4 linked regions of the Diceros bicornis minor genome follow. The protein of the gene in region 2 interacts with the protein of the main gene of each other region in a pairwise test. Links are inferred from orthologs where the notes say so. Each region holds a gene or a part of one and is shown on either strand. Other genes may lie near its edges. The genes, in order: BNIP2, MYO5B, RAB25 and RAB11B.

What was found.
Region 1: the proteins of MYO5B (region 2) and BNIP2 interact in binary tests that used the Homo sapiens proteins (3 or more experiments, as listed by UniProt). The two-hybrid records come from large-scale screens. The link is inferred for Diceros bicornis minor from reciprocal best matches to the Homo sapiens genes MYO5B and BNIP2.
Region 3: the proteins of MYO5B (region 2) and RAB25 interact in binary tests that used the Homo sapiens proteins (3 or more experiments, as listed by UniProt). The link is inferred for Diceros bicornis minor from reciprocal best matches to the Homo sapiens genes MYO5B and RAB25.
Region 4: the proteins of MYO5B (region 2) and RAB11B interact in binary tests that used the Homo sapiens proteins (3 or more experiments, as listed by UniProt). The link is inferred for Diceros bicornis minor from reciprocal best matches to the Homo sapiens genes MYO5B and RAB11B.

What each region holds. Positions count from the first base shown.
Region 1 is NC_080744.1:54,624,843-54,632,447, forward strand, and holds the start of BNIP2 (BCL2/adenovirus E1B 19 kDa protein-interacting protein 2), read right to left. Parts: upstream 3,015-7,605; 5' UTR 2,902-3,014; intron 1-2,901.
Region 2 is NC_080755.1:42,689,805-42,697,658, reverse strand, and holds the start of MYO5B (unconventional myosin-Vb), read left to right. Parts: upstream 1-4,853; 5' UTR 4,854-5,271; coding exon 5,272-5,298; intron 5,299-7,854. UniProt on the Homo sapiens protein: May be involved in vesicular trafficking via its association with the CART complex. The CART complex is necessary for efficient transferrin receptor recycling but not for EGFR degradation.
Region 3 is NC_080743.1:59,706,980-59,714,297, forward strand, and holds the start of RAB25 (ras-related protein Rab-25), read left to right. Parts: upstream 1-4,301; 5' UTR 4,302-4,543; coding exon 4,544-4,586; intron 4,587-7,318. Other genes in the region: ragulator complex protein LAMTOR2, read left to right, coding at 269-431, 2,580-2,669, 2,910-2,966. UniProt on the Homo sapiens protein: The small GTPases Rab are key regulators of intracellular membrane trafficking, from the formation of transport vesicles to their fusion with membranes.
Region 4 is NW_026691615.1:317,945-325,946, reverse strand, and holds the start of RAB11B (ras-related protein Rab-11B), read left to right. Parts: upstream 1-4,996; 5' UTR 4,997-5,070; coding exon 5,071-5,110; intron 5,111-8,002. UniProt on the Homo sapiens protein: The small GTPases Rab are key regulators of intracellular membrane trafficking, from the formation of transport vesicles to their fusion with membranes.

The sequences.
Region 1 (7,605 bases), on a different chromosome or scaffold from region 2:
ATAACCTCACATCTGTTAGAATGGTTATTATCAAAAAGACAAGAAATAAGTGTTGGCAAAGATGTGGAGAAAAGGGACCCCTTGTGCACTGTTGTTGGGGAATGTAAATTGGTGGAGCCACTATGGAAAACAGTAGGGAGGGTCCTCAAAAAATTAAAAATAGAACTACCATATGAATTCCACTTCTGGGTATTTATCTGAAGGAAGTGAAATCACTATCTCAAAAAGATATATGCACCCCCAAGTTCACTGCAGCATTATTTACAACAGCAACTTAAGTACCCTTTGATGCGTGAATGGCTAAAGAAAATGTGATACACACACGCACACACACAAATATTATTTGGCCATAAAAAAGAATGATATCTTGCCATTTGTGACAACATGGATGGACCTTAACAGCATTATGCTAAGTGAACTAAGTCAAGACAGAGAAAAGCAAATACCATATGATCTCTCTTACATGTGGAATCAAAAATAAAAAAAAAGAAAGCTGATAGATAGAGAACAGATTGGTAGTTGCCAAAGGCAGAGGGTGGGTGAAATGGATGAAGGGGGTCAAAAGGTACAAACTTCCACTTGAAAAATAAGTCCTGGGGATGTAATGTACAGCATGGTGACTATAGTTAAGAATACTATATTACATATTTGAAAGTTGCTAACAGAGTAAACTTTAAAAGTTCTCATCACAAAATATTTATAACTATGTGTGATGGATGTTAACTAGACTTATTGTGGTGATCACTTCACAATATATACAAATATCGAATTATGTGGTATACCTGAAACTAATGTTATGTCAATTATACCTCAATTAAAAAAAAAGAATGAAATGAGATACTTCATCAGGAATGTTAACACAAAATTCAAGAAAAATTACAATGGTGCCAACTTTTCTTAAAATTGTGAAAATAAAGCAAAGGATAATTATGTCTCCTATAAAAGATACATTTATTAAATTATCAGTATGCAGAACATGCCGGAGATGCTCTGAGATCTTTAAAAAGATTAAAGTCTAATAACTGATTTCTAACACCTTGCTGTAGAGTTATAAATATTAGTTGTAATATAAAATTATAATTTTGGAATATTACTATCATCATATTATACTAGTATTCTGTTTTATAGGATGTAAGCTTAAAAAGACTTTTTTTTTTTTTGAGGAAGATTGGCCCTGCACTAACATCTGTTGCCAATCTTCCTTTTTTTTTTCCCTCCCCAAAGCCCTAGTACATAGCTGCGTATCACAGTTGTAGAGGTGTGGCTCTTCTATGCGGGACGCTGCCTCAGCATGGCTTGATGAGCAGTGAGCAGGTCCCCGCCCGGAATCCGAACCCGCAAACCCCGGGCCGCTGAAGTGGAAAGCGTGAACCCAACCGCTATGCCACCGGGCGGGCCCCAAAAAGACATCTTTCAATCCACTGTCAGCCAAGGTTAATTTATCGCATCTGGCTACATACACGTCCTTTCTTAGAAGCCTTCCTCCTGCTGCTCCATCTACCAGCACTACTCCAGATGGAATGAACAGAACCACGTTCCCAAAGAGTGCTTTTCACATTTACTAGCCACTTGCACATTCATCATCTCGTATGTTCCAACCATCATGTGAGATATAAAGTTGTGGTGTTATTATCCCCATTTTATCTTATATATGAGGCAAATGACACTACATTCTGGTTCCTAGATTAGACCTAGACTGTTTCTAATACAGCACACTCTCCAGTTCACTGGCAACTTTATACAGAATAAGCTTGTAATGTCAGATTTGGTTACACTCAGCTTCAGAGGTCCTGTACCGCCTAAAGATTACAGTAGCACTGACTTATGATGATCTAGTTCAAGTTCCATGTTTGCAGAAGTGGACCTGTCATACTTCCTGTCTAAGCCCAACAATATTAGGCTGCAGTAGAAGAGATTACGAAGACTATGAATAGTTTCGAGAAAATGTAAAATGACAAGAAGGGAGAAGGATGTGCAAGATCATCAGAAAAATAGTCTTCAGGGTAACTAAATCGGGTAACTTCAGTTATAATTTTGAGGAAACATGTCCATCGACAAATCGCAAAATTCTTATAAAATTTTAAAAGAAGAACGCGTTTAATTAAAAAAAATAAGTAATTTACCTTTAAGAGAAATAGAGGTCCTAATCAGAAAAGACAAGGATAAAGAAAGCACTAAAATGCAATCACACACTTCATTCAACTAACTATATGGAAGGCGCTATGACTACCTGGATGAACACGAGAAACGCTGTGCTCTCAAAGAGCTCCCGGACCAGGCAGGCAAGGGAAGTTTAAAGCGACTAACAGACCCAAATTAACGTCTGGTTTAACATGAGTTGATCTAGTGGATCTCCAGTGGCATCATATGTGTCCAGCAAACCCAAACCATTTCAGCAAAGGGCCGTGTCTGAATCCACCCAGGAACTCGGCTTTTCACGTAGGAAGGTCTGTTAAAGCCCTGATTACAAATGCTGCTTCCGTGTCTGTTCCCCGAGGGGGACGCGGCACATCAGACGTCCGTTTCTTTGTTCTGCACCAGGACCGACGCTGGTCATAAACACGGGACCAGTGTGGCCCCGTCACCGCACCCAGACCGGAGTGTGGGACGGAGGGCCGACAGGGGGGCAGGTTCCATCCCGAGCACAACCACCACAAACGGAAAAGGGGTGGGGGGCAACGACGGCAACTGCAAACCGGAGCCAAGCCAAGGGCGGGGGCCCCAGCTGGGCGGGGATCCGGGAAGCGCCTCCCGGGCAGGTTCCACGGCGCCCCCTACAGCGGATAACCCTCTGGGCTTCCTCTCTCGGGCCGGCCGGGGGCACGCGCCCCTCAGACGGCCGCCCCCAGGGCCGTTCGCAGCCCAGACCCGCCGTGCCCAGTCGTCCCGGGCCGCACTCACCCCGCAGGAAGCCTTGGCCCCCTCGTCTTCTTCGCCCCTCCAGGCCGGCGACGTGGGGCTGACGGCCAGGTCGCAGAAGGTAGCGCCGAGCGGAGCCCGCTCCCCTCGGACGGCAGCAGAGACCCGGGCCCAGTTTCCTGGCCGCAGCGGCAGCGGCTGACCCGGATGCAGAGAGCAGCCCCGACGGAAATGACAGCATCGCGACCTTCTCCGGGCGCGGCGGCCGGCGGAGGCGTGGCGTCTTCTTGAAGCCCCGGAGTCCCTCCCCTCGTCCCCTCAGCTGGCGCAGTCTATCGCTCGCGCATGCGCCCACGCGGCCGCCCACACGCTCCCGCCGGGCGGGCGGGGCGCGGAGACGCCTTGGCGGCGCCTCTGAGGCTGCAGGTGCTTCCTTTCTCGCTGGGAGTGGATCCTCAAGTCTCAAAGAGCCATTTTTGTATTCTTTATGTTAGCTTTATTGATCATTACGATAATTGTATGTTATGGATGAAAATAGGGGAGGAAAAATATCTGAGGCCACATTTTGGGGAATTAAACCTCAGAAGAGTTTGGTAAAATGCTCGAGGGTGAACAGCTTTACAACAGTGCTTCTCAAACTATATATATACTATATACGATACAAACTATATACAATAAGTAGGGATTGATCAATTTATTGTTTTTTTAAATTTCCAATTAGTTGTGGGCCATGCTTTGGTCAGAAAAAATTAAAATATCAGACATATTTTATCGTTAGAGTCAGCAGCCATAAAATTACCTGTTAAATTGGTATAAAGGTTTCTAAACGCTTCTCTCAATTTCTGTACTTGTCTCGTGGACCAGTAACGAACAGGTCTCTGAAACGCCCGGGTCTGTGGATCATACTTTTGAGTAGCAAGACTGCTCTACAGCTTCAAGGAAATAAGATTAGTTTGGAGAACATCATAATCCCTCTCAGAAATCCCACTAAATCCCTACAAAGGTGTAGCAGTCAACTATTTGGGTAAGGCATTAGGGAATGGTGGGGCTTGAGGGGAACTGAAAAGCTTAAAAATTTAAATCATTGACCCAAAAATGCAGCTCCCAGGTTTACATAGCTTTAGCAACATTTACTCACTATTGGTGGGGGGTTAAACTCTCTATATCTCATCTATAAAATGGGAAAGATTAATACCTACTTGATAGGTTTTTTTGAGATAAAGTCCTATGTGTTAGAACAGTGCTTTGTGTAGTGTAATCGTATATAAGTGTTAGGTATTATTATTTTCCCCCATTCTGGAAATTTTTTAAAAAGCTAGCAGAGAAAACAACCAAAGCTGATCAACAGAGCCTTAGCTAAACAACTTCTTGGGCTATGCTCCTGTAAGCAATTTCATCTTTAGTTACGGATTTTTTGTAGTTCCGTATTTTGCTTATTTCAGTCTTGCAATGAGTAGTATTCCCCACAGGGTGGCAGAAAATCATTTGAAGTCATATGCAGTTATGTGATTTTTGTAATCTTTAGTTTCTTTTTAATTTCAGTAACTTTATTGTTTAGTAAGCTTGGTCAGTGTTTGCTTTGGTTTTGAGTAAGCCATACTAGTATTTGTCTTTTTATCCCCATCTCATGAATTATCCATACTTACTGTGAAACGTTAGAAACTACAGATAAGGTAAAAAAGATAATCACACTTAATACATTTATGTATATCTTTGCAGATTTTTGTATACATATAACTGTATAAATAGCATATGTATGTTTTTATAAAAGTGAATTAATGTACCTAATAGTTTATAATCTAATTTTTTTCTTTTCATTTAAAAGTATATTATGAACTCCTTTTCAGGCCAATAAGTATATTTTAACACCATAATTTTTATTATGGATAATTTATGTACTAACTACTTATTGAATATTTAGGTGGCTCCATTTTTTTGTTGTTAAAAACAACACTTCATAGAGTGTCCAAAAAGTCAGAAACATAGGACTAACTTGTTTTCAAACAATATACTAATTACATTTTAAAATAATATGCTCAGTATATTTTTTAGGTGAAATACCTCTAATCAGTGGGTCTAATTGTTAATCTGAAAAAAAGTATAAAAAGACACTATTTTCCCTGTGTTTCCAGACTTTTGGGATAATCTTAAGTGTATTTTTACCAATACTAGTTTGTTCTATATGCCTCCTTGAGTAGGCAGATATTTAGACTCTTAAAAATTGGAAAATAATTGAGAGGGAAAGAAAGTGTGGCTTCTAGACGCTAAGTAGAAGGTATCATTTGGAAAGTGATACGTTAGCTCAGAGCCACCATCAACCTGTTCCTTTGTGGTTTCTGGCTTTGGTGTTATATTTAAATAGGCCCTCCTCACCCTAAAATTATACAATATATAGTTGTTAATATTTTCATCTTAAAAAATATGAACATTAAATCTAACTGGAATTTTGTATATATGCTTATGATATGAAGTAGGGAATCTGATTTTTACTAAACTGACAAAATAGTGTGCCTAACATTATTTATTGAATAATCCATTAATTCTTGAACTCAACTAGGACTCAAATGAATGTTTACCTTCAAAGTTGTCATCCTAGGTTACCCACTTAGTTCAAGTATCCATTCACAAACCTTTTGACAAACTGTTATATCCATTCACAAACCATCATTGGACAAACCCTTTATTGAACAATATTGTGAGTCAATACTATTGGGCCCTGAGGGTACAGATAAAAATGACACAGTGTCTGCCTTCAGGGAGCTCACAGACTAGTCAGATAAGGGGCAAGCAAAGACAGTAAGCAATCTGGTGGATTTACTTCCAAGGTGCAGCTAAATAGAAGGGAGCTAAACAGATTGGGGGGTGGGAGGTGAGGTCGATAAAGGAAGACTCTCTGAAGGAGGTGATCTCAAGCTTAGTAATAAGAGGAAGATCTTCCAAGCAGAGGGAATGGTATATGCAAATGCACAGAGGCATCTAGGAACTGCACATTGTTCATCGTGACTGGAGCACAAGCAGTGGGAACGTGAGTGAGGTGAATGGCCAGTAACAAAAATAAGTAGTCAAAGGCCAGATTAAAAAGGGATTTTTTTCATGCTAAGAATTTATTCAGAGCCAATATAATGCACGACATGGAAAAGCAATCAATTATTACTTTATAGTTGTGCTCCAAAAGAAGGGATTGAAACATGTCCTGCACCATGGCAGCATCAATATGATAAGTCCTAAAAGAACAACTTTGAGAAGGACGACACTCATTTGAATATATGCTTTAGTATGTGTGTTAAAATTATTCATGTTACTTTGTCATACTTTGTACATCAAAATAAAAGCACTCAGCCAAATAGACTTGAAGAGATGCTGAGTCTGCACCTGCTCCCCATTCCGCCCTCCAACCTTGGACCAGAGGTAAGATGAGAGATGATAAAGAAGACATTTGAGACAACGCTATGAAAATGTTTGTGTAAATTCAAATTTCAGAAGGCATAATGTACATTAGACTCTTGAATGCTGTTGCACTCTCCACTGCATAATTTTAGAGACAGATTGTTATTCTTACTTATGAGCATATAAATTCAGTGATGTTTGGCAGCTCACTCATAATTTTTGAAAAAATATGAAGTGTCTTTTACATGGGCTGAAGATGTCTCTGCTGGTTGAGCTTGAGGGTAAAACCGGATACAATTATATATTCATTTAATTATTCATAACTTGAGTCTGAAATGAATGTGTATATATTTTTCACTTATTCGCTTTAGAAAATTCTAAACTAAACCCAGCAGCAGTTTTGTCTTTGGCATGGTGACAAGTGTCTTTTCTACAATGAACCAGTAAAAGAAATTGTTCCAGAGAGAATTTGTGTTCCCTATTTCAGAAAATCCAGTTGGACTGCACATATATATTACACATCACCTTTGCGTGGTGCTTCCACATTCCACAGACTACACAGAGGGAAGCAGCAGCACACGTGTCTAGGAAATATTTCCATATGCAGAGTTAGGTTATGGCCATTCAAGGGGAAAACTAGGCTTATTTGCTGGAGAGTTTTAGTCAACAGGACTCTAAGAATTCAATTCATTCAGGGAAGTAGCTAGGTTATGGGTTGAAGTTGTGTGAGAACAAGAGTTCAGATCCTGACACAGTCCTGTTTTTTGAGGGAGGGAGGATACACATTTTATTCAACAGAAGTTAGGAAAGACTAGTACTGTCTTTGATTACTCATCAAAACTAATAGTGTGAACAAATCTTAGAGTCCACATTCAAGTCCTCTGTGAAGATGTTTCTGCAATGTCATAAAAAAATGGCAAATATGAGTTTAAAACTGAGGGTATACATTTTATAATGCAAAAGCATAAAATTTGGCAAAATCATAGCAACAAATAGATTGGAGATCATGGTTGTCATTTGGAAAGAAGATGATGGACAGAGGTCCCTCTACCCTGAATAGGGGTCATTCCAAAAAAAATCACTGCACTTATTAAACTCTTGCAGAAGTAGCAGACATAGTATCACCATACTTGGTTTATTGCTAAAATCAAGATTAATTTTGAAGAGGGAAGTAGATTTCACTCTTTCCTCTTTCCTTTAAGATGTGAAATGTTAATAGCAGTGTGACCATCTATATTTAGAAATATACAAATAAGTAATAGCTTCCAACTTGAAAAAAATCAGAGCTTGATTGATTGATGATGATGATGATGATGATGATTTTTACCGGTAATAATGCTTTTTTAATTCTTTCTGGGC
Region 2 (7,854 bases):
ACCAACCTTCTCCCAATTATCTTCTGCCATCTTCACGTGTTAGAGCTTCTACCCTGATCACCAGCCATCTCTACCCCGGGGAGGAGTGCCCTTGCGAAATCTAGGCTGAGGTCTGTGTCAAGGTCTCCCCCATACAAATAGTAACAGAAGTCACTGCTTAAACCCTCATAGCCTGGGTGCTAACTTGGAACAGGTGAAAAACAAATCCACATTGCCTAGAGAGAGACTCAGAAATGCCCACTGAGTAAGCTACAAAGGTGAAAGTGTTCCAGAGCATCAAGGCTGTTAATACCATTCTCAATCCGGAATTCCTAATGAAGACCTAATTTTGGAGGTCATAGATGTGGCTGCCCTCTGCTCCATGGGCTTCAGACTTTTTTGCTCTCAAACTCTTTAAAGTAATTTTGAAAAACCATGTATGTCTCCACACATTTTTAGGTTAATAACTAAAAGTTTTCGTAAGTTTAAATAATTGAAAAAGATGTAATTTGGGTATATTGTACATATTGTCAGCTTAAAATAAAACGGTTACATCACTCTTTTAAATGAACCCAATGGACTCTAACTGCCATAGCAATTTGATACCCTCCATTGCCCGTTTAAAAAAATACACAAGTTCTTTAAAACATGCATTTTTTTCTTGAGCCTGAAATTCCATTCCACTTTCCCTACAGAATTTTAGCCTACATTTTTTATACTGGAAACTCTTCTGACAACCACCCTATAACATTATCTATAACAAAAATATGTATATAAATTATTTAAAAATTTTCCAGTGGTCAAGTATTCTGAATTGAATTATCATCACAGATGGTCTTATACAACTTTAAAAATCTATTCCTATTTTTGTTATGGATAAAAGTGTTATATTTGTTTACATAAACAAATAGATGGGAAAGGAAGTTTTGTTAGGACAGCGTCCCTCAATTTGAATTCCTTTGCCAAAAGCACATAGTGATCCACGAAAAGATTATTTTAAATAACCTGTCAGCTGACAAATGGATCAGGTCCTCCTTCAATTTTGTTAACAGAATTGGAAACCACCAACCTGCACAGAGTGCGGCTCCTTCATCAGAGTCACTCACCTTCTCAACACTGAAGTTTCTATCTGTCCTTTTGTTTGGTGTCCTGGAGGCTCCAGAGGGAGATCTGAGAATGAGCCCCCCTAACTGCAGGGCTGTTTTTTGGCAAATCAGTGTTTAGAAGGAATGAATAAGGAGATTTAGGATCTGGAAACTGATTCCCTTAAAACAATCTATGGAATAACAACTCCTTGAAGAGTCTTGGCACACACCAGGGAACCACAAACCCCATTTGACGATGATGCCTTAGCATGTAGGGGCATACGGGAAACCAACCTTCCAAGAAGGGGAGGAGAGAAATTGCTAGGATGAAGTTCTTACCAGGAAGCCAGTCACACAGAGCCCTTTTTGTGTGTGATTGTATTAGTCACCTATTGCTGCCTAACAAATTACCCCCAAACTGAGTGGTTTCAAACAACACACATTTATTACCTCACAGTTTCTGTGGGTCACAGACTTTATCATCTCACAGTTTCTTTAATTTAGACACAGCTTTTCTGGATTCTCTGCTTCAGGGTGTATTATGTGGCTGCAATCAAAGTGTCAGCTGGGGCTGTGGTCTTCAAGTCGAGTCTGAAGGCTTAACTAGAGAAACATCTGCTTCCGAGTTCACCCACTTAGCTATTGGGAGAATTCAGTTTCTCGAGGGCCACCCTTAGTTCCTTCCACATGGGTTTCTCTATAGGGCAGCTCACAATATGACAGCTTGCTTCATCAGAACAAGCATATAAGAAGAGCCAGAGAGATTTCCAGCAAGATAAAAGTCACAGTCTTTCACAACCTAATCATGGAAGTGACAGCCCATCACCTTTGCTGTATTTTATTTGTTAGAAGCAAATCACTAGGTCCAGCCCACACACAATTCACCTACTGTTTCCTGAGTCCTTTGTGCAAGGCATGATGGGAAGTGCAGAGGATACAAATACAGGTCAGGTGTGGTTCTTGCCTTCCAGCCTAGGGGTGAGGAGGAGAGAAGGATATTGGTATACATGTAATGCCGGGTACAGTAAGGGGAGCTCCTTAAGAGAGGTTAAGTGAATGCTTCGGAAGTTCAAAGTTCTTCCCCACTTGTGTGTGATGGAAACCCCCACCTGTCAGGAGGGAGACCAAGGTAGTCCCAATGGAGGTCTTCTCTTACTTTGAGAAGCCATGGGGCACAGAGCAATGTTTCTTCAAGTGTGACCCCTACACCACCTGGCTACTTATTACACATGCAGACTCGTGGACCACACGTGGACCAACTGAGTTAGCATCCCCTGTATCCCCTTAGTCCTGATACACACTAACGTTCAAGAACCACTGGTGTAAAAAGCAACTGCTTAGACTCTAGAATGAGAGTTTAGTTGAATACCAGCTCTCTGATCTAGAATGTTCCTTACCCAGACTCACTTTGCTTATCTATGAAATAGAATTATTATTCAAACCTATTTTATAGGGTTGCTCTGAGGCTCAAACAAGATCACAGAAGCAAAGCTCTTGTTTCCTGGCACAAAGTAAGTTTTAAAACGTCTTTATTATTATTCAAAGGAGGGAAAGACCTTATCTGATTGTGGGATTAGAAATGCACAAGGCTCTGGCCAAGAGTAATATTCTCCTTAGGGATGTGATTCAGTTCAGTCAGCATGAATTGAGCCTTTAATTTGTGCCAGGTATGATGGAAGCCAGAAAGTTGGAACCAGGTTGGGGGTTGGGAGGAAGGGTGGAAAGAAATGAGTTTCAGGTTGGTTCAAGGTCCTAGTGGGATTGCTAGCATTGCCTATCTGGCAGGTGGAAAGGTGGGTCTAAACGAGGGTTAGAATTAGATTTCAGAGTTAACATATTGGTAAGAGGTAAAATAGGGGGTGTGGATGAGAAGAAAGATGAGGTGTGGGAAATGGGCCACAGTTTTATTCAGGAACCAGGAAGAGGAAACAGAGCTAGAAAAGGTCACAGAGAAGGTGTGGTTAGAGAGGCTGGGGAAAATAAGAGGAGGAAAATGATAGATGCCAAGGGAGGAGATGATTTAACATAGCAGGGAGAATCAATTAGCGCCCCAGAGGGAGAAGGCGATTTCAATAGAACGGGGCTGAGCTGGAACCACTTAGGAAGGAATTAAAGCACCAACTCTTAACCTTGGCTGTCACTAGAACCACCTGGGAGGAACTGGGTGTGAGCAAGTGGAGCCAGCTGGTACCAGCTACACCTCAAGAAGTTTAGCAGGAAAGGAGGACAGAGAAGTCAAGAGCCAGTTGAGAGAGAGCGAGTTGCTGGCAGAGAGATGGGACCACTGATGGAGCGTGGTGGCGGAGAAGCAAAGGGGATCTGGAGCACAGATGTGGATGGCACCATAGCAAGTGGGCTTTCTTGGCTGGAGAGCAGAGAATTCTCTACCGAGGTATGAAAACATTGAGTGCTGGGCCCCTCCCCCAGCGTTGCGGATTCAGTAAGTCTGCGGTGATGACTGATAATTTGTATATCTAATAAGTTCCCAGGTGATGCTGATAGCCTGAGGGCCATGCTTAGAGAAATACTAGAATATAGGGAAGGAATGGATGCAGAGATTTTTGAGTGAGAAATGATGGAACCATTTCCTTTCTGCTCTTGACAGTGACATGATGAAGTCCATTTCAGATCCAAGGAGAGTAGCCCAAGCTTTGGTTACTGCATTTGTCAACCCAGAAGTACAATCCTTTAGACTATGGAGGAGCTTAAAAAATTCAGATAATTTCCACCCTTCACCAATCATCCAGAATTCTTGAGGGTGGGGCCCCTTCCTTGGGTCAGTTAAAGCTCCCCAGGTGAACCTCATTGAGGAGGCACAGTTGAGAGGGGTCCCACGGTGAATTAAATGGGGATCTTGCATTCCAGGTGGGAAGGTCTTAAATGGGATGAGTTTTAAGAATCACCTTCCAGGGAATGGGGCTCCAGGACAATCCCTCCAGCAGGTATAGACAGACACACTGGCTGAGGACCACCCTCAGATGCCATTCCTCATTCACGTACAAAAGCCACCTTCGGAAAACCAAAGCCGTGTCCCCTCCTCTCCTTCCACCAACTCCTGTCAGCTATTTTCCTTTTTGGCTGAAATTTCTACTTTTTGCTGGAAGTAGAAGAGGGACTGTAGTTGCTGAAGACAGCCAAGGGGCACTAGCAGAGGGGACAAAAATAAACGTGGCAGGGAGCGGCAGAGCGACTGAGAGTGTGCATGTGGGAGAGAGGGGAGAAAATGTGAGACCCCCGGCAAAGCATGAAAGTCTGATGGAGGTAGCTGGGAGCCTAGCTGGAAGCTGTGGGTGAACCGGGCAAACGAAGTGACGAGTTACAACTCCCACCTTTCTGATCAGGATTTCAGCGCAGGGAGCTCAGTTTGGCGGAGACAATCTTTGGTATACCCAAATCACCTTAATAACAATCTACGATATAACTGAATTTTAATCATGAAAATATTGAACGCAGCCACGTAAAATCCAGAGGAAAATATATGGGAGCCTTTCAGTCACAGGCATCTTTTTATCCCCCCTACCCCCCGGCTTACTTTCCCTCCTTTTTTTCTCTTGTCTCCACTACATCCCTGCCCAGCCTCCCAGGGGCACAGACCGCGTGCAGGCAGAGCGCGGCGCGGCAGGTGTGGGCCCCCGGGGCGCACCTGTCCCAGCGCGCGCCCGGCGTCCAGCAGGGGGCGGCCGGCACCGGCTCCTCGCCCGGCCCCGCCCCCGGCCCCAAGGACCCCGCTGCGGCGGGGGCGCGGGAGGGAGCGTCCAGCCCGGCCCCGCAGGGCTCAAAGGCGGCGGCGACGGCGCCCCGGCTGCCAGCTCCGACGAGCGCCGCCCTCTCCCCCTCCCTGGCTCCCGCACCTCCTCCCACACCTGCGCGGGGAGCGGCGCCGCGCGGCCTCCTCCCCCCCCCCCCACCCCCACCCCGCCCGCAACTCCGGCCCGGCCGCAGCTACGCCGCCGCGGCGGGAGTAAAGGTCGCGCCGGCAGAGAGCGAGCCGGCCCCGGCGCCTCCAGGAAGCCGGCGGGGCAGGTCGGGGGGAAAGGACAAGAAACACAGAAACTCCCGGGCAGCCCAGGAAGATGGCGCCAGGCGGGCCGGCCGGGGACTGAGAGCCGCCGGGGCAGCGAGGAGCCCGGACCCGCCGCCCCCCGGCGCACGAGCGAGTGCCGCCCGCCAGGCACGGCGCCCCGGGCCAGGCCCGGCCCGCGGGGTCATGTCGGTCAGCGAGCTCTACAGCCAGGTGAGTGCGGGCTGCGCGCGGCGCGCTCGGGCCACGGCGGCCCTCGGGGGCGCCTTCTCCTGCGGCGCCGGCAGGTGCTGCTCCGACTCCCCCTCGCCGCCTCCTCACGCCCCGAACTTCGGGTGGCGGAGAAAGTTTGGTTGTTCCAGGAGCGCCCCGCACTGACCCAGAACCGCGGGGGTGTCCCCGCCACCTCCGAGCCGGGTGCGTGGGGACAGCCCCCCGCGGTGGCGCCCTGCGCGCCGCCGCCCCCTCCATTCGCTGCTGGACCCCACCCCAGGTGCTCTGCGGCGTGAGCTTGCGAGGGCGCCCCTCTGAGGCTTCCTTTCCTCCTGCGTGCCGACGAGGGGGAACGCTGAACTTGGGGAGGGTGTTCTTGCACTTGAGGGGGGGAGAGAAAAGGGGACCCAACCTGGTGTGAGGGGGGAGGTAAGCACTGGGGAAAGCGAGGGGCGCTCCGGGGAGCTCTGGAGATCCCAGGGAAGCGCATTCATCATTTGCCGGCGATGGGCGTTTTGAGGCGGCCCCTCTGGGTGGGTACCTGCCGGGGACTTCATCTGTTGTAGGGAGGGCATCGGAGTAATGCTGACCCGGGGTGGAGTGTGGATTTTCGGGGTGCCCTCAAGGTCAGAATGGATGTGCGAGGCTCCGTCCTCAGAGTCGGGAACAGGTGCGGCCGGGCGGAGACGCCCCGCTTCCGCGGCAGTCGCTGTGGTTCAAGTTAGGGACCAGCCGCCGCTTCCCCGAGCGCCTGCGGTCGCGCTGCAGCCGCCGGGGCCGCCTCGGGTTTCACCTTGGCTCCAGGGATGAGGGGGGCAGGGGCCTTTAAGCCCCCTCCCCCTCCCCTTAAAAAAAAAAAAAAAGTTTCGGATGTCTCGACTCCTCATCTGCCTGGTCGTCTTCTCTGTGGCTGGGACAGGTTTGACGGTGCCTTGTACGCGCGTCTCTGTGCAGAGGTGTGTGTGTGTGTGTGTGTGTGTGTGTGTGTGTGTGTGTGTGTGATGCGTGCACGCGAGTGGGTGTGGGTGTGTTATGCCTGGGCCGATAGGTCTGGGCGGGGGAGGAAGAGCTACTTCCGCATGCTCACCTGGCGATTGCTCGAAGCTGCTCCCGCGGGTGGTCGAGCCCTTCGGCTGGGCGGGCTGGCCACTCCTTTTCCCTAGAGGAATTTTCTAATCCCTCCTTCCTCCTGGAGGGGACCAAGGCTTAGATGGGCTGACATGAGGTGGCCGTGGAGGCTGTAACCTGGCTGGGGGCGGGGTCGCAGCTGCATCTGACACACACTCCGCCCCCGCTAAGGTCCCCTGCAGCTGTGACGGATGGACTACAGATTCTGGGAGAGGAGAGGAGAGGAAAGGGTGTAGGTGCCGGCCAGGGGGTGAAATCTCTGGCACTCCTGGCTTTGGAAAAGCACCGCACCCCGTTTACCCTTGGGAGTCGTGGGAAGAGCCCTCAGAGCTCCAGCTTTCAGGTGTCTTCCTGAAGCGGCTTATCAGGCAGGAACTTCTCCCGGAGGCTGGAAACCAGCGAGGCAGGGAAAAACATGTGCTGGAGAGTTTAAAGCACTGAAGCTTCGTAACATTGAAGTGCACGAAAATGCTACTCGTACTCCCAAGTGCGATGAGTGACTCAACTGATTACACCTGCAACGTGTCATAAAGCCCTTTATCAGACCATAATTAATTGTTGTATTATGTGACAATCCTGGGCAATTGAATAAGCTCTTAATTTTTGAAGCCCTGACTTTGAATAACGAGAATTAATATTGGATTGCTTTTAAAGACAGAACTCTTTCAGGGGAAAACACTCAATTTGATTTTGAGTTAGAAATGAGTACATTGCATCTTAATTACTAGGAATGATGAATTAGTGGGAGTCCGAGCTAAAGAAGTTTCAGTGTACTTTTCCCGGACTTACAGAGATAGGGACAAAACTTTCACCAGAGGAAGGCCTTGGAAGGATGCACAAGACCAAAAAAAAAAAAAAAAAAAGTAGCTTCATTGGTGTGAGGGTTTTGGCATAATTAATCCAAAAACAGTATTAGAATTTCTCCCTAGGGCTGGAGGACTGCACCTTGCTCTGTTAATAAGTTTCTAGTTCTTAATTGTTTTTAGGTTTTTGAATCTGAAATTCAGATTTTCTGTGGCCGATGCAATAGCTTCCAGATTTGTTTTGAGCTCTGTGTGTGTGTGTGTGTGTGTGTGTATGTATGTTGTTGTTGTTCTCTTTGGCAGAGTTAAACACGGTTAACGCTTTACTATGAGAATCGTTTGCATTGTTTCCTAACCATTGTCACCCCACTTGCTAGGCTGGATTCTCAGTACGTATGCATATGAATCATAAATTATGCAGAGAAATGCCTGTCACTCAGACTCGCTTCGTTTCTTGGGAGATGATTTGTTCATTTTAGTGTGTTATCAGAATAGCCAGTGTTCCCTTTTATTTTTAACCTGCTAGTGGGCTTTTCTAACGTGATGAACACTGGATTCAGGCACGTACTTTAATGTATGATGCATGATGGAAATAATTATCCATTATGCCCGCAGCATTTATAAG
Region 3 (7,318 bases), on a different chromosome or scaffold from region 2:
CTGGAGTGGGGCGGCGCGCGGCTCTCCAAGGGAGGGGTAGGGTAGGATCTCCGGGAAGGGAGGAGGTGGCAGAAGGAGCAGGGCAACAGGCCGGGATGGCTCCTCTCGAAAAGAGAAACCGACGTGGTGGGTGCTCGGGGCATATCCCAGGACACCCTCAGCACAGACCCTTGCTTTCTGGAAGCGCCGGTGGCGGGAGTTGGGACGGAAATTCAGGCATTTTACTCCGATCTTGAGCATGTCACTATCCCTCCCCGTCCCTTGCCAGGCTGCTGAATAACGAGGGATCTCTTCTGGCCTACTCCGGTTACGGGGATACGGACGCCCGGGTTACCGCAGCCATCGCCAGTAACATCTGGGCCGCCTATGACCGGAACGGGAACCAAGCGTTTAATGAAGACAATCTCAAATTCATTCTCATGGACTGCATGGTATGGAGAGAGGAGCTACTTCCTCTGTCCTCGAAGGGGATTCCCAGGGGGCGACCCGGACCCCATCCTGGATGGTTGGAGGGGCAGGGACAGGATCTCTGGAAGATTACTAAGAGTTGGTCTGCAGCAGCATTTATAATAGGCAGGACCCTATGCATCAAGTGGTGGTGAGGGAGGAGCCCTGGACCCGAGGTCTGACTGGGGTTCTGGTCTCAGCCAGCCACTAACATTTGTGGAACCTTGGGTAAGTCACTTAACCTCTCTGAGCTTCCTTAGCACACCTCTAAGGGGGAAACAATACACACAGGGTTGTTGTGAAGATCAAATGAAAGAGTGGATATAAACCGTAGGATGATGTACAGACACAAAGTGTTGTCATCCCAGATTCACAGACTCAGGGAAGAATGGCACAGTCTCCAGACACTAGTCCAGTCCCTTCAGTTTACAGAGAAAGCAGATGAAGTCCAGAAAGGGGAAGTGGCCATTAGGCTGTGAACTTCTTGGAAACAGAAACTGTCTCACTCACCTTTGTATCTGTTCAGTCAACAAATTTTTAGGTCCCTGCAATGTTCTCGGGACTTGGAGAAAAGTAGCAAACAGGACAGACAAAAACTATTTATAATGAAACTTAGTCTTAGACATGCTTTAAAATAAGTAAAATATGTATGTTTTGTAAAATAAGTGTGTAAATATGTTTTACAAAATAAGTAAAATATGTATATAAGTTAAAAAAGTAGTATGTTAGGTATTGAAAATGCTGTGGAGAAAAATAAAGCAAGGAAGTGAGATAGAGGCGGATGTGTGTCAGGGACAATCTCATTGCAAAGGTGACATTTCATCACAGATCTGAAGGAAGTTGGCAAGCCATGTGGCTGTCTGGAGGAAGAACGTTTCTGACAGAGAGAACAGCAGATGCAAAGGCCTTGAGGCAGAATGCTGCCTGGTCAAGGATCAACAAGGTTGATGTGGCTGGAGTGGCATCAGAGTGGCATGGGGAGGTTAGTAGGAGCAGAGTCCAGACAGGCAGAGAGTGTAGCACCTGGTTCCCAGCACTCGCTGGATACCTAGTGAAAATTTGCTGAACCAAATTAAAAAGGCCTCAACAGGGGCCGGCCCCGTGGCTTAGTGGTTAAGTGCGCGTGCTCCGCTGCTGGCGGCTGGGGTTCGGATCCGAGCGCGCACCGAGGCACTGCTTGTTAAGCCATGCTGTGGCGGTGTCCCATATAAAGTGGAGGAAGACAGGCACAGATGTTAGCCCAGGGCCAGTCTTCCTCAGCAAAAAGAGGAGGATTGACAGATGTTAGCTCAGGGCTGATCTTCCTCACACAAAAAAATAATAAATAAATAAATAAAAATAAAAAGGCCCCAAGAATGAACTCTCCAGAAAGGAATTCCACTGTAACTCAGCTGCCTACCTCATCCTTACCCCCTGTGCAACCAAGGATGTCATTTCAGTTCAACTGATGACTCCTCCTGGGTGCCTAGCTTAGAGCTGGTGCTTTAGGGCAATAGCTTTCAAACGCTTTGATCACAACTGGGCCAAAGGAAGTACATTTTAAGTCAGAGCCCAGTGCACATATATACCCACTAAAACAAAAGTTTTGCGAAAAAGGTCTCGGCTTACAACATGCAATGCACTTCATTTCTCTTCTTTTTTCTTTTAATGCTGATCACCTTCTTAATTGATCTCCTAACCCTGGGGTCAGACCTGCAGTTTGAAAAGCATTACCATGGGAAAAGAGGAGAAGCATAAGTTGGGTTACTGCTCTCAAGCCCCTTACATTGTTTTGGGGTGAACCCATAATAATAATCTCACCCATTTGGACAGCCCTTTGCAGATACAAGACTCCTTCATGTGTACTGGCGCCCTCACCAGCTGGGGTGAGGTTGGGGTTACAGAAAGAGAAACGGAGTCCCTGGGAGATTGAGTTTCCCAGCGTAACTTGGTTAGTAGGTGCCTGTGCTGAGGCTGGAATTGGGGTTCAGGACCCCATGTCCAGGGCTGTGGCCAAAGCCCCACTGCTGAAGCTCCTGCGTGTGCCCAGGGCATGGGAGGAAGATAGAGTCTCTCTCAAGAGGAGCCCTTGGGGAAAGAGGGGGCTAAGGTGCCAAGCCGAACATCACATCCCATGATATTGTCCCCACCAGGAGGGCCGTGTAGCCATTACCCGAGTGGCCAACCTTCTGCTGTGTATGTATGCCAAGGAGACTGTTGGCTTCGGAATGCTCAAGGCCAAGGTGTGTACATGCCCATCCCTCTGCAGTCCTGGGCCCAGCCTTTGTGCTCCATCACTGTCTGTTCCCATCCCCACCACCTTCCTGCAGGCCACCTGTCACCCAATCCATGTCTGGTGTGGGCTAACTCCCAGGAGCAAGCGGGGGCTGGGAGGGGGTGCTCAGCATTGGGTGTAGACCTGGATTTGGGATCCCTCTAGGGGCAGGCCATGTGTGGGACTGATTCTGCTCTCCCTTCTGCAGGCGCAGGCCTTGGTGCAGTACCTGGAGGATCCCCTCACCCAAGTAGCGGCATCATAGTGGGCGTTGGTGGAAGCTGGAGTCAGAAAAGAGAGATGACCACTGGGAGGGGCAGGGCCCCCTGGGGAAACCTTCCTGGACTGTGGAGGGAGGGTGGGACTTTGTTTTTTCCAAGAATAAACTTCAGCTCCTGTCTTGTGTCCTGGCTGCTTTCTTGAGTGGGAGCAATCAGAGGAGATAGAAAGGAGCAGGGATTTCTTATAGGATTCTTCATGTGCTGCAAGGATGGATTTCCACCCATTCCTTCACCAGGACCTCCAACAACCCAATGGTTTTGGGCAGTGATGCCTCACTCCCTTGGCCTCTCCCGTGGTGTGACCTCCCCTGGTCCCTGCCACTCAGAGCAGAATCTCACCCACCTGATGGCAAAACCTTGGGCGTGAGCTCAGAGGTGCAAGGGGCTGGTGGAAGGTCATGTTGAACAAAGAGAATATAGGGCCCTGGGAATTAAGTGTCCTTCATCCTGATTTTGAGGGGTGGGGGAGCTTTTCTACTCTTGGGGTTGGGAGAGTGTCCCCTAGCTGCCTACAAGGGGCCACTCCTTTCCTCTTCTGCCAGGCATTCACATGCTCACATAGACCTTCTCCAGATCTTGCAGCCCTTTGCAGACAGGATGGCTTTGTTGTGAGGCTTCAGGTCCTGGAGAGGGAGTAAAAGAAACCCAGAAGACCTCTCAGAGGGCTTCCCCTCCAGATTCTGCCCCTCCACTCAGACTCTTCACCCCATCTGGCTGTTTCTGCCCCAGGTCTCCCCATACCCAGTGTCCTTAAGAGCAGGTCTGGATGGGGAGCTACCCAGTGCTGTAGGAAGGGACCCATCCCAGAGAAGAGGTAGGTTGCAAATTCCAGCTCCACCCAGGGTGAGACATACTGCCCGTCCCAGGCCCTGGGCTGTCAGGGAGGGGTAGAAGTTGCTGTATGGGAGATGCAGCTCCCAGACCTCTGCACGGCAGGGTGACTGGCATCCCATCAGCCCCAGCCCCTTGCCCCAACAGCCCTTGCCATGGTGCCCCCAGATAACCCCTGCAAGGGCTCTGAAGGAAAAGCAGGCGGTCAAGTAGATTTTTGCTCCCTGAGAGGCTATTTCTCACTCGCTGGTGGCTGGGCCCCCTGGCCACAGGTCTCAGGAGCCTAGACATGCGTACTCAGTCCTCAGCTGGCTCTCTGAAGGCCCTGTCCTTGTCCCAGCTTCCCCCACTGTCACCCTCTGGAGCCTGCTCACCTGCTTGCAGGAGCCCAGGCTGAGAGCACACACCCAACCTGTCTAACCTGTCTGACGTCATCGTCTCTCCACCCACCTGGGCCCCAGGTCTCCAGTCGCCCTGCTCTTCCTGTTCTCAGCTTCCGTCCTCTCAGCTTCCTTGCAGCACCCCCACCTGCCAGAGCTGAGCCTCCCTAGGCTCTGCCTAGCCTCGAGTCGGCCCCCAATCCCTCTGGCTTGCAGAAGTTTCTTTACCTCCAATGAGAGGAGGGGCGGATCCAGGTCTCTTGAGAACTGAGGGTTGAGGGCGTTGAACTAACGCATAGACCCGTCATCTCTGCCCTTGAAGACACTTGTACCCTCCATGCGGAGCCAAGATGGGGAACGGAAACGAGGAAGATTATAACTTTGTCTTCAAGGGTGAGTTGGGGTCCATAAAGAGAGAGGAAGCCTGAGAGAGACCCAGAAAGAGACCAACAAACCAGAGACGGCCCCTTCCTGTTTTTTTATCTCTTAGCAGGACCCCCCAGGGCTCATCATTCCTTTGGATAAGAAAGAAAGCTGCAGGAGGTGAGGGAGGGTCTGATTACAGGGGCGAAAGTCCTGGAGCTGCTAGAATGCTCTACTGTTGTAAATAATGATGGTGATCACTCCTTAATAGTGTCGAGTTAGGCTCCTCTGCCCCATGCCTAAAGGAAGCCCAAATCCCTAGGAATAGTCAGCCACTGCAGCACAAGAGATGGAGATCAGACTTCAGAGAGGACTTCCCTCCTGAGAAAAGGGGAAACAAGCAGACTTAAAAGAAAGAAAGTCATCTTCCTGGGAAGATGTATAGGAAAGGAGAGATCTATTTCATCATAGGGCTGAGTGAAGACATAGGGAAGCTGTAACGATTTGGGAGCAGGGTCTAATAGGATCCAGAGGACTCCTAGGGCCATGGTCTTGTCTGCTGTCCCTTGGCAGACCCCTTGGGCCCAAATACCAGGCCCTGGGTTCCACTTGGCTGTCCCTGGAAGTGTGCGTGTTTCTTTCCTGCTCCTTTATCTCAGCCCCTGTGCTTGGCCTCTCTATTGTTCCCCACTCCCCATGCCACCCCCACCTCCACGCCTCCTTCTGGGCAGGGTGGATTGGCGGAGCTATGATTCCCTGTCCTGCCACCCCACCCCACGCCTCTCCCAGCCTCAGCCCCACCCTCTCTCTGGCTGGGACTCTCAGGCATCTGGGGTTGGGGAACCTGTAGTCCCGGCATCCTTCCCAGGAAGGGGAGGCCAGGGAAGGGCTAGCAATAGTCTGGGGCAGTACGACCACTAGTAACTACTGTTTATTGAGCCCTTAGCATGTGCCAGCCGCTAGCTCATTAATCACCATAACAACCCCCAAAAGTTATCTTCCATTTTGAAAGCATAATGGTCATTATAGCATCACGGTCAGGAGCCAGACTGAGTTCAGATCTCAGCTCTGCCGCTTACTCAGTACTGCAGGTTGGGGTCTCCAAAGCAGACACTGACAAGAAGTTTGGGGTATAAGATGTTTATTATGGATCAACACCAGTGAAAGGAAGGGGGAGGAAACAGGACTGGGCAGGAAGCAAACTGTAGCGCAGAATCACAAAGCCTCGGCCAAGGGCAGCGAGCTCTGTGATCCCCTTACCTTGCTCCGGCACTGGAGGTGGGGGGCTGCCCGGGAAAGGCATGACCTCAGGTACAGCTGCTCTCTGCACCAGGAGCACATGCTGAAGGAGCTGACAGCTGGAGGCTGTCTGCCAACTGCACTGTCTGCAGCTGGGGGCCAGTCCTTCCTTGAAGCCGGATCCAGGCAGCACACCTCTGCGTTTACCACGCTAGCTGGCTAGCTGTGTTACCTTGTGCAAGTCATTTAACCCCCTCCGTTCCCTTGTCTGTAAAAATGGGATGAAAATGATAACGGTACTTGCTTCATGCCATTGTTGTGAGGATTAAATGAATTAATATGGGTAAAGCCTTTAGGATGGTGCCTGGCACGTAGTTGGCACTCAATCAGTGTTAACAATTAGTATCTGCATTTTACAGACGAGGATGAGACAGAGTAAGTAGCTTACAAAAGGTCACAAAGTCAGTATTCAAACCCAAGTCTGTCTGACTCCAAAATCCTTGCCCTGAGAAGCTGTTGGGCCTGAGGGTAGGGCTAGGAGCCCACCCACCAGAGGGATGAGATGGGGATGAAGTTCCCAGTAGGGGAGAGGCAGGAGCACACACACACACACCCATAAGCCTCCCAGCTCTTTCCTGTCCTACACAAATAAGGAATTTTTAAAGTTGGAGGGGGCCTTTATAGATTTTATACACAAGGAAACTGAGACCCAGAAAAGGTGAGCCACTTGTTCAAGGTCACATGGCTAGTCAGAGGCTGAGTGGGGATCAGAACCCAGAATATGTGGCTCCCAGGGCACCAGCCTGCTTTTCCAGAACCACTCTGGGCGGCCTCCTCTAACCCTGGATGCTCAGCTCAGTGTCGGTGCAATTTATGGGTCATACTTAATCAGCCCCCTACACTCTCCCCCAGCCCCCAGCTCACCCACGGTAAGGCTGGGCCCTGGATGCTGCCCACCAGCCCAAAGGCTCTTCACGGCCCCTCTGATGGATCCTTGTCCCTGAAAACCTGAAAGTAAAAGCTCTGGCCTACCAACAGCAATCCCAGCAGTAACAGTTTTGCACACTCACTATATCCTGGGCAATATCTCATTTACTTTTTGCAACAACTCATAAGATAGTCACTATTGTTATTCCCATTTCTCATATGAAGAAGAAAGTCAGAGAAGTTAAATAACTTGCTAAAGGACACACGGCTGGTCCAACACCCAGCCCTATGGTCTTAATATGCAAGACTGCCCCTCCTTGGGGACAACTGGATCCTAACTTCTTACACACCGCCTGCATACCTTCCCCCCACCCACACACGTGTCACTTGCCAACTTTCTCCTCACTCACACTTCTATTCGCGCCTCTGCTCCCATGCAAACACACACACCAAACCCCCCACTTGTCCTCCCAGCTCATATACATAGAAACGTGCTCAATGTTCTCATACTCCCTAGTCCAGAAATGTGCACCCTCCCCCCCAGACCTCCTGCCATCTCTCTCCGCATTCACACACTCTGCTAACCTCTCCACACA
Region 4 (8,002 bases), on a different chromosome or scaffold from region 2:
TAAAGCAGCTCACGCCTAGGCCCCGGGACTTACGCAGTTTTTAAAAATGTAAACATCTCTCCACTGCACATGGAGAACTAGTATCCCCTGCCATAAATAAGTTAGTGAAACTAAAGCCAATGAAAATAAAACAATGCCAGTGCTTTAAAATTCCAGCTAGAAAACTGATCTACGGTGAAAAAAAAAAAACAAACCAAAAAACCCTGAATAGTGGCAGCCCCTGGAAGGGTGGGATGGGAATTGACTGGGAAGGGACATGAGGCAACTTTCCCTCCACAGAGGTGAGTTACTCTGGCATATGCCTTTGTCTTGGTGAATGTACATTTCAGATCTGTGCATATTATTACATGTAAATTTCACCTTCCAAACAAAAACTAAGAAAACAGCCATAAACGATCCTTGAACTCTAGGTAATGATATGCATGCTGAAGTGTTTAGAGGTGAAGTGGACTAACGTCCTTGTTTTATTCGTAATTTTTTTCCAGCTTTATTGAGGTATAATTGCCATATAACATTGTGTAAGTTTAAGGCGTATAAAGTGTTGATTTGATACACTTATATATTGCAAAATGATGACCGCCATAGGGAGCTAACACCTCCATCACGTCGCAGAATTACCATTTCTTTTTCATAGTGAGAACATTGAAGATCTACTCTCTTAGCAACCCTCAAGTATACGATACAGTATTGTTAACTATAATCACCATGCTGTGCATGAGACGCCCCAAATCTTCGACTTTCTTTGAAATGCATCAAAAAATAGGATGATAGATGGGTGGATAGAGATGGATATGCAATAAAGCAAAATATTAATAGTGGACTCTAGGTGTTGCGGATATGAGTATTCTCTACAATTCTTTCCATTTTTCTAAAAGTCCCCAAAATTTCACAACAAAATGCGGGGAAGAAAATTCTAACTAGATCTTGTGGCTTTCTGAAGGCTCTGCTTCTGAGCTCTGTTTAAAGAGGGAGATAAGCATTAGAAAATTGTTCAAGAGATATGAGCAAAAGAGAGTGAGCCTTTCTGTTTGAGGATAATAAAGGATTTCAAGAATTGCAAAAAGGTAAGACTTTCTCAGCATGTGGTTCAACGTTATTTAATGCACTGCCCAGAATAATCATCCATATCATATGGCCTGGAATAATGTGATGCTTTGTCTCCGGGACACATGTTTGGGAAAAACAGCATCTGTCCAAGCCCTGAGCCCCAACTGCTGTTTTCATAGGAGAACCTATCTTTCCAGTATTTCTTGTAAGTGTTCCTTGGAGAGGTCGTGGGGGCTTCTTGCACTAGAGGAAAACCTCCATGCTTTTCCTGTTCCGTGACTCTTCCTGGAAGGTGCTGGGGACACAATGGCTTCCCTGGGGCCCTGGCTGAGTGTAGGTGATGAACTTCTTGGCACTGGGGACAGGCCACTAAAGTTCTGTGGCCTCAGTTCCTGCATCTGCAAAATGGGGATGGTTCTGCTACCCTGCCCTCCCACCCCCACCCCCCACCCCCCACTTCTGTTCTGCTGGTGCTGCAAGGATTTCCTGGAGCATTAAGTGAAAAGCGCTCAGAACAGTGTCTCACTCATGGTGAGCTCACAATATAAACATTAGCCGTCCTTACTAATACTGTTATGATGAGCCATGCTCGGGGTGGGGGCGGGGAGCATGACCCAGACAGGAGAAAAGACTTCACGGTGGATGTGGCTTTTGAGTCAGTTTTCAAAGGAAGAAAATTTTACAAAGATGAGGAGGGAGGGTGGTATTCCAGAAAGAGGTCACTGTGAGAGCCAAAGCCTAGTGGCCTCGGTGGGAAATGCAGCTCCTGTCTGGGGAGCCAGCGCACAGCCCCACCTAGCTGCAGCGAGGGGCAGAAGGCTGGGGAGGGGAACGGCAGGGCGGGTGGGGAAGGGATCTGTGCTGGAATGTGCAGGGCCTCAAGGCAACTGCCCAGGAGTTTGCTGACAAAGGCTGGGAGGCTCCTCCCTGGTCTGGATTTCAGCCTTGCCTTTTCGCCTAATCTCTTTTCTGGCCCCTGGACCCCGCTCTCCAGCCACCATGACCTTCTGGCTGTTCAGACACATCAAGCTCTTTCTCTCACTTGCTTTTGTGTCTGCCTGAAATGCTGTTCCTAATACCTCTTCCCCCTCCTGCGGACTCAGTGCAAATGCCACCTCCTCCAGGATGCCTTCCCTGGCTTCCTAGTGAAGGGGAGGAAGACTATCCTTTACCCACTCTGGGTCCTTTCTGGCTGGGCTACAAATTAAATTGACATGAGACCGCATAGCAGGAGAAAATCCAACAAAGCTTTATAACGTACACATGGGAGAAACCAGGGAAACTGAGTTTCTCAACAAATGGCGGAGGTTTTCACCTTAAATAGCATATTCAGGTAGACAAAGGAGGATGTTGGGGGGGTGGGGAGTCAGCTATGGGAGATTACCAGAAAGCACAATAAACAAGAGTATGCACTGATAAGAGTTTCTAGAGATAAGGTCATCCCCACTTCTTCCTGGTACAGAGAGGGAGATATCTTTACAAATGGACATTTCCCTTCAACAGAACTTTGATAAGAATGGGCTTAGCAAGGACCCTCCCACTCTATCCATACACAGATTTAAATTCATTTAGGCAGTTAGTGGGAAAGGGGTGAGGTCAAAGTTTCTTTCAGAGAAAATAATCAAGGTGAAGAGACATATTTTGAGGGGGCCAATTCCGATCTCCCACTAGCTAAGGAGCTAAGGAGAATAACCCAGGTTATTCTCTTCATTGCATGCCTCCCATTCTGCAATTATCCTGCACATGTTTTTTACTTGCTTCTTATCTGACTGCTCCCAAGAGACTCTCAGCTCCATGAGGGCTGGCACTTTGCATCCCCAGCACCTAGAGTGCTGCCTGACCTCATAGATGCTCAGTAAATGGACGTCCTAAAGGAAGGACTAAAAGATTTTTAAACAGGGGAGCGAGACAACCTGACATGTTTTAAAAACCCCCCTCTGACTGCTGTGGGAAGAACAGACTGTGAAGTGAGGGCAGAGCAGGGGGATCTGGGAGCGGGAAATGCACAGGTCCAGGTGTCACTGACTACGGACCTCGAGAAAGTCAAAGGTGGGTTTGGAAGCAATTAACTGGTTTTTTTTTTTTTTTTTTGCTGAGGAAGATTAGCCCTGGGCCAACATCCGTGCCCATCTTCCTCTACTTTATATGGGACACTGCCACAGCATGGCTTGACAAGCAGTGCGTCGTCAGTGCACGCCTGGGATCTGAACCTGTGAACCTGGCCTCGAAGTGGAGCGCCCACGCTTACCGGCTGCGCCACCAGGATGACCCAGCAATTAACTGTTTTTCCAAGTTGTTTCTTTTCCTTTTGTATATTAAGGAGATGTAACCACCAGCCATCCTGAAACTGACCAAGGGAGGCACTCAAGGGAGATATAACCACCAGCCATGCTGAAACTGACCAAGCCTCACCACAAGAGCTACGCCCACGACCTTTGCCTTATTTTTAATGCAAAAATCTCTCCAGGTGGAGCTTAGGCCTCATGATGTGGAAGCATGTTCTCCAACTGAGCCTGTGCAATCGAATACCTGCCTCTCCCTTTTGAATATTCATTCCCCAACCAAATAAAAGTTCCTGCTTTCCTTGGTTCCCAGACGCCCTGACTTTGGAAATGATTCTTCATGGTCTCCTATTTGCTGCAAATACACTTTACTTTGTGAGACAACTTCCACTGGTGTAGTTTTATTTAACTTACCAGGAGGGGAGGCCACTTGGTTCGGTGTCACAGGGAGTGATGATGGGCGCCAGGATCAGGGTGGTGGCAGTGGAGGGAGTGAGACGTGGTCAGAAATTTGGGAGGGAGAAGAGACACAATAAGGGGAAGGGGCAGAGGGTGGTAAACAATGAGAAAGAGAGAGGAGCCCCTGACTTGTGGCTTTGATGATGGAGGGGGTGGGGGATGGAGACACAGGAGGAAGAGTGGATATGCGGAAAGAGGACAAACAAGTGTCGGGATGCCTGATGGACATCCCAGCGATGAAGTCCAGGAGGCAGTAATAATAATAATTATTGTAACTAGCACATGAGCTCCATGCCTAAGTTGTTCATCACTGGTCAGATATTTATTGAGCACAGGGACACAGCAGTGGTTGTGGCACACACAGTCCCTGCCCTCATGGGGCTGATGTTCTGTTGATGGAGACAAACGAAACAGATTAATGGGTCAAGAAAGAAACACATACTTTAATGTCAGGTAGCGATAAGTCCTGGGGGAGAGGGTGGAATAAAACAGGGTAAGTGGACAGACGAGGGGAGGAGACCATGTTGGAGAGTCTGACGCCCAGTAAGGATTTATAAATATTTGTTAATCAAAGACTTAAAGACAGAATGTGGACGGCTGATTTAGTGTGCGTTTAGGGACAAGATCTAGTTATCTTCCAAAGATTCCACGAGGTTTCTTCCCTGTTATACAGATGAAGGAAACTGATGCAGAACGGTATCGCAATGAGACACCAATACAGTGATGGAAAGTGCAACCGAGAGAGGAGAGGTGACCTCTAATGGAAAAGACCTCGGGGAGAGGCCCCCCAGACAGGGTCATTTATGGGGCGGGGAGGCAGAGCAGCGTGCACAGACCTATGACGTCATCGGGACGTTACATAGCGTAACATCACCTGGACGTAGCGCTATTTCCCTCCCCGGACAGGTCCTCAGGCAGTCGGGTACGGTCTGAATTAAGCCTCTCATTGGCTACTCGCTCCGTCAATCCGTTTCATTCTTCCCTTCTTCCGTCCCGCCTTCCTAAACCCGCCTTTGATAGGCTGGCGCAGCTGTCACTTCAGAAAGGGCCGCATTCCTTCCGCCTTTCTCCAGGAGACCAGGAGCGCGGAGGGCGGATCCTAGCGGCGCCCACCCCTGGGACTCTGCTTCCACCTCTGATTGGCTGCCCTGGGTGCCGGTCGCTACGCCACCCGCCGCAGATTAGCCATCCGGCCGCCGCTCTGCGCGGCGCCGGTTCCGCCCCCGTCGGGTGTTTGTGGTGGGGCTGCGGAGTCGCCGATCCCGCCGGAAGCACCAGGACAATGGGGACCCGGGACGACGAGTACGACTACCTATTCAAAGGTGTGGCCGGTGGGGCACAGACGGGCGAGGGCGCGGCGGCGAGGCGGCGGGCAGGCGGGCCGGCGGGCCGAGGTTGCGTTCCAGGCCGCTGGGCCCAGGCCGGAGCCCGGGGCTTGGGGCCCGGCGGGTCAGGCAGCCGGGAAGGCCGGGGTGGGCCAGGCTCAGTCAGCTTCGGGCCGGGGTGCGCGACCGTGCGGAGCGGGCGGCCCAGGGAGCCCTGGGGGCCCTGGATGAGCCGGGGCGGAGCTGGGGCACAGAGGGGGTGGGGCCCGGAGCGGTGGGAGAGGCCGTTAGGGGCGGGGCCTCAGGAGGGGCGGGGCCGCCCCAGCATTCGGCGGGCCGGGCTGGGTGGAAAGCTCCCTTCGTGGTGGGGGCGGGGCCTTGGAGGCGGGGGCTAGGCGGTAGTGGGCGTGTCCAAGAACTTGCTGGGGCCGGGCGCTTCACGGGGTGGGAGGGGCCAGACCTGATTGGTGGCAGCGCGTCTGGGGGCGGGGCCTTGGAAGGGCGAGGCGGACAATGGGGGTTGAAATGTGTGGGGGGGAGCCTGGATTGGGGTGCGGACCCCGAATTGCGTGGAGGGGCACGTGGGGGGACTGTGTGTGCTGGACCCGGGCCCCGTGTTTAACAGCAACAATTATATCTCTTAATTATTAGAACATTAACAGCACTGTCCAAATACCTGCGTTTTTCTAAGCACTTTATACTCATGTAGTCATTGAAATCCTCAAAACCATGTGAGGTCGGTATTATCCAGCCTTTCTCTTTATGGACCTGGAAACTGGCTCAGAGAGACGAGTGTTAAGTGTTGGAGCAGGACTTGAGCCTAGATCAGCTGTGGGCTTTACCACTTAGGAAGTGTGGCGGGGGGCGGGGGGGGGTGGCGCGGCTTGCAGCCAGGATCTGGGGCCGAGGTTGTCAGACTGCCTCCCCCAACACGTGCGCGCTGATGGCTGGGCCTCACCAACCCTGCCCCGGGGGTAGAGGGCTCTAAGAGCCTCAAGTAAGGCTGAGGCAGATCAGGCAGCCATTGCCCGCCTGGGGCCAGTGGGGAGCTCATTCACCCTGCCCCTCAAGCTGGGAGATTCCCTCCTGATTGGGGGGTCACTGGCTTCACAGTGCCTCTGTGCCAAGCTGGGCTTCGGTCAGGGCCTGTGCTGGGCTCCCTGGCTGACAGTGGCCACCCTTGAGGCTAACCCCTGGGCCCACGTGGGGCACCTTGGCCCTGCTGCCTGCGGGTCTGTCTCCCATGCCAGCTGTTGGCATCTTCCCCTCGATGGGGGAGCCTGGCCAGCCCTGAGAGTGTGGTCTGTGTCTGTCACTGCCCATTGTGTCTGTAGTATTATCTAGCATGTGGGGGCCTGGGGACCTTGGGGACCTGGACATTGGGGTGGAATGCTCCGTACCTGGGATATCCATGTGGCGAAAGGCTTCTGGGCAGAGGGGGTGCCCATGCAAAGGCCCAGGGTCGTCACACAGCTCCATGGGCTTGGCGAGATGCGTGCAGGCTGCTATGTCGCTGGCCAGTGAGGCTGTGTGGTCGGCAGGCATCAGGCCAAAGCCCTGGTGCTGCCGGCTGAGCCTTGGGGTCTCACCTAAGAGCGAGGGAAGCTCTATCAGGGCTCTGGGGACTGGTGACAGGTGGACCGGACTCCAGTCCTGCTGCACCTGGTGCCTGTCTTTGCTCTGCCCGCCCTGAGACATCTGCTCCCCAGGTCCGGGCTGGGCACTCACCCGGATGTGGCACTGCCAGGGCAGAAGGCATTCCCAGTGGCCACCTCCAGGTTTCTGTGGTCATTCCCCGCTTGTTATTTTCAACTGTTTGCTGTTATAAATAACCCAGGTCCAAGCGTTTGCACAAGTCATCTTTTGCTCTTTGGGTTATTTCCTTGAAGTTTGTTCCCAGAAGTACAGTTACTGGGTCAGGGGCAATGGAGCGGTCGTGTGCTTCCCGGGATGCATCTCCAGGGTCCGCTTCCTGGAAACACTGATCTGGCTCCTGTGGCAACTGGTACGTGGTGGGGGCGGGGGGTGCCTGCGCCACTGCCCTCCCCCTCTGGCCTCCTTTTTCTGAGTCGAGCAGGTGCCTTCCAGTCGGGGGAGCCCTTCAGGAGCGGAGAGGGCAGCGATCCTCTGCCCCCTGCCCTGTGCGCAGCCTCCCTCAGGCTTCAGTCACTTTCCCCTGGCCCTGCCCTGGGCACAGAGGGGCCACCCCTCTCCCTTGGGACACTGGCTGCCCCCTGTCCTGCCCTCCTTCAGTGCCTTGTGTTATTTGGCAGCCACATCATATCTTGGATCCCCTGACCTGCTCGGCTAAGGCCAACAGACCCCCGTTGGTGCTGTGTGCTGTTTATTTTCCTCCTTGCACATTCTGCCCTCCCCTAGGAATGAGGTTGTTTATTTGTAGCTAATTATAGATCCTTACATTTATCCTGCTAACATTTTATAACCTGGGACCATCTTCCCAGCCTGCCCATTGATCCCCAGGGGTCGCCCCTGACCTCTCCTCTGATGGACTGGCTGTGGGGTCCACAGTGGGTGCAGCTGTGTCCCCAGGGGCCACCGAGGCCTTCCCGGAGCCCCCAGGCACTCACCTGGCCTGTGAGGACGTGGCTGGTGTGGGAAGCTGCCGTGGTGGCCCAGGGCCCTCTCCTCTGGATTGGCCCCTGCCCCATCTAGGAGTCCTTCTGGGGAGGTGCCAGGAGCGAGTGGCAGCTGGCTCCCGGGAAACAGGCCAGCCCCAGTGCTCGGCCCCTCTGCTGGGTGCTCCTGAGGCAGCCTCCCCTCTCTAGCCCGGGCAGGGCCCCCCACCCAGCCCCCCTGGTCCAGGATCTGAGCACACCATCTTCCCCATTGCCAGTGGAGGCTCTGCCTGTGCCTTGACTTTGGGCCCCT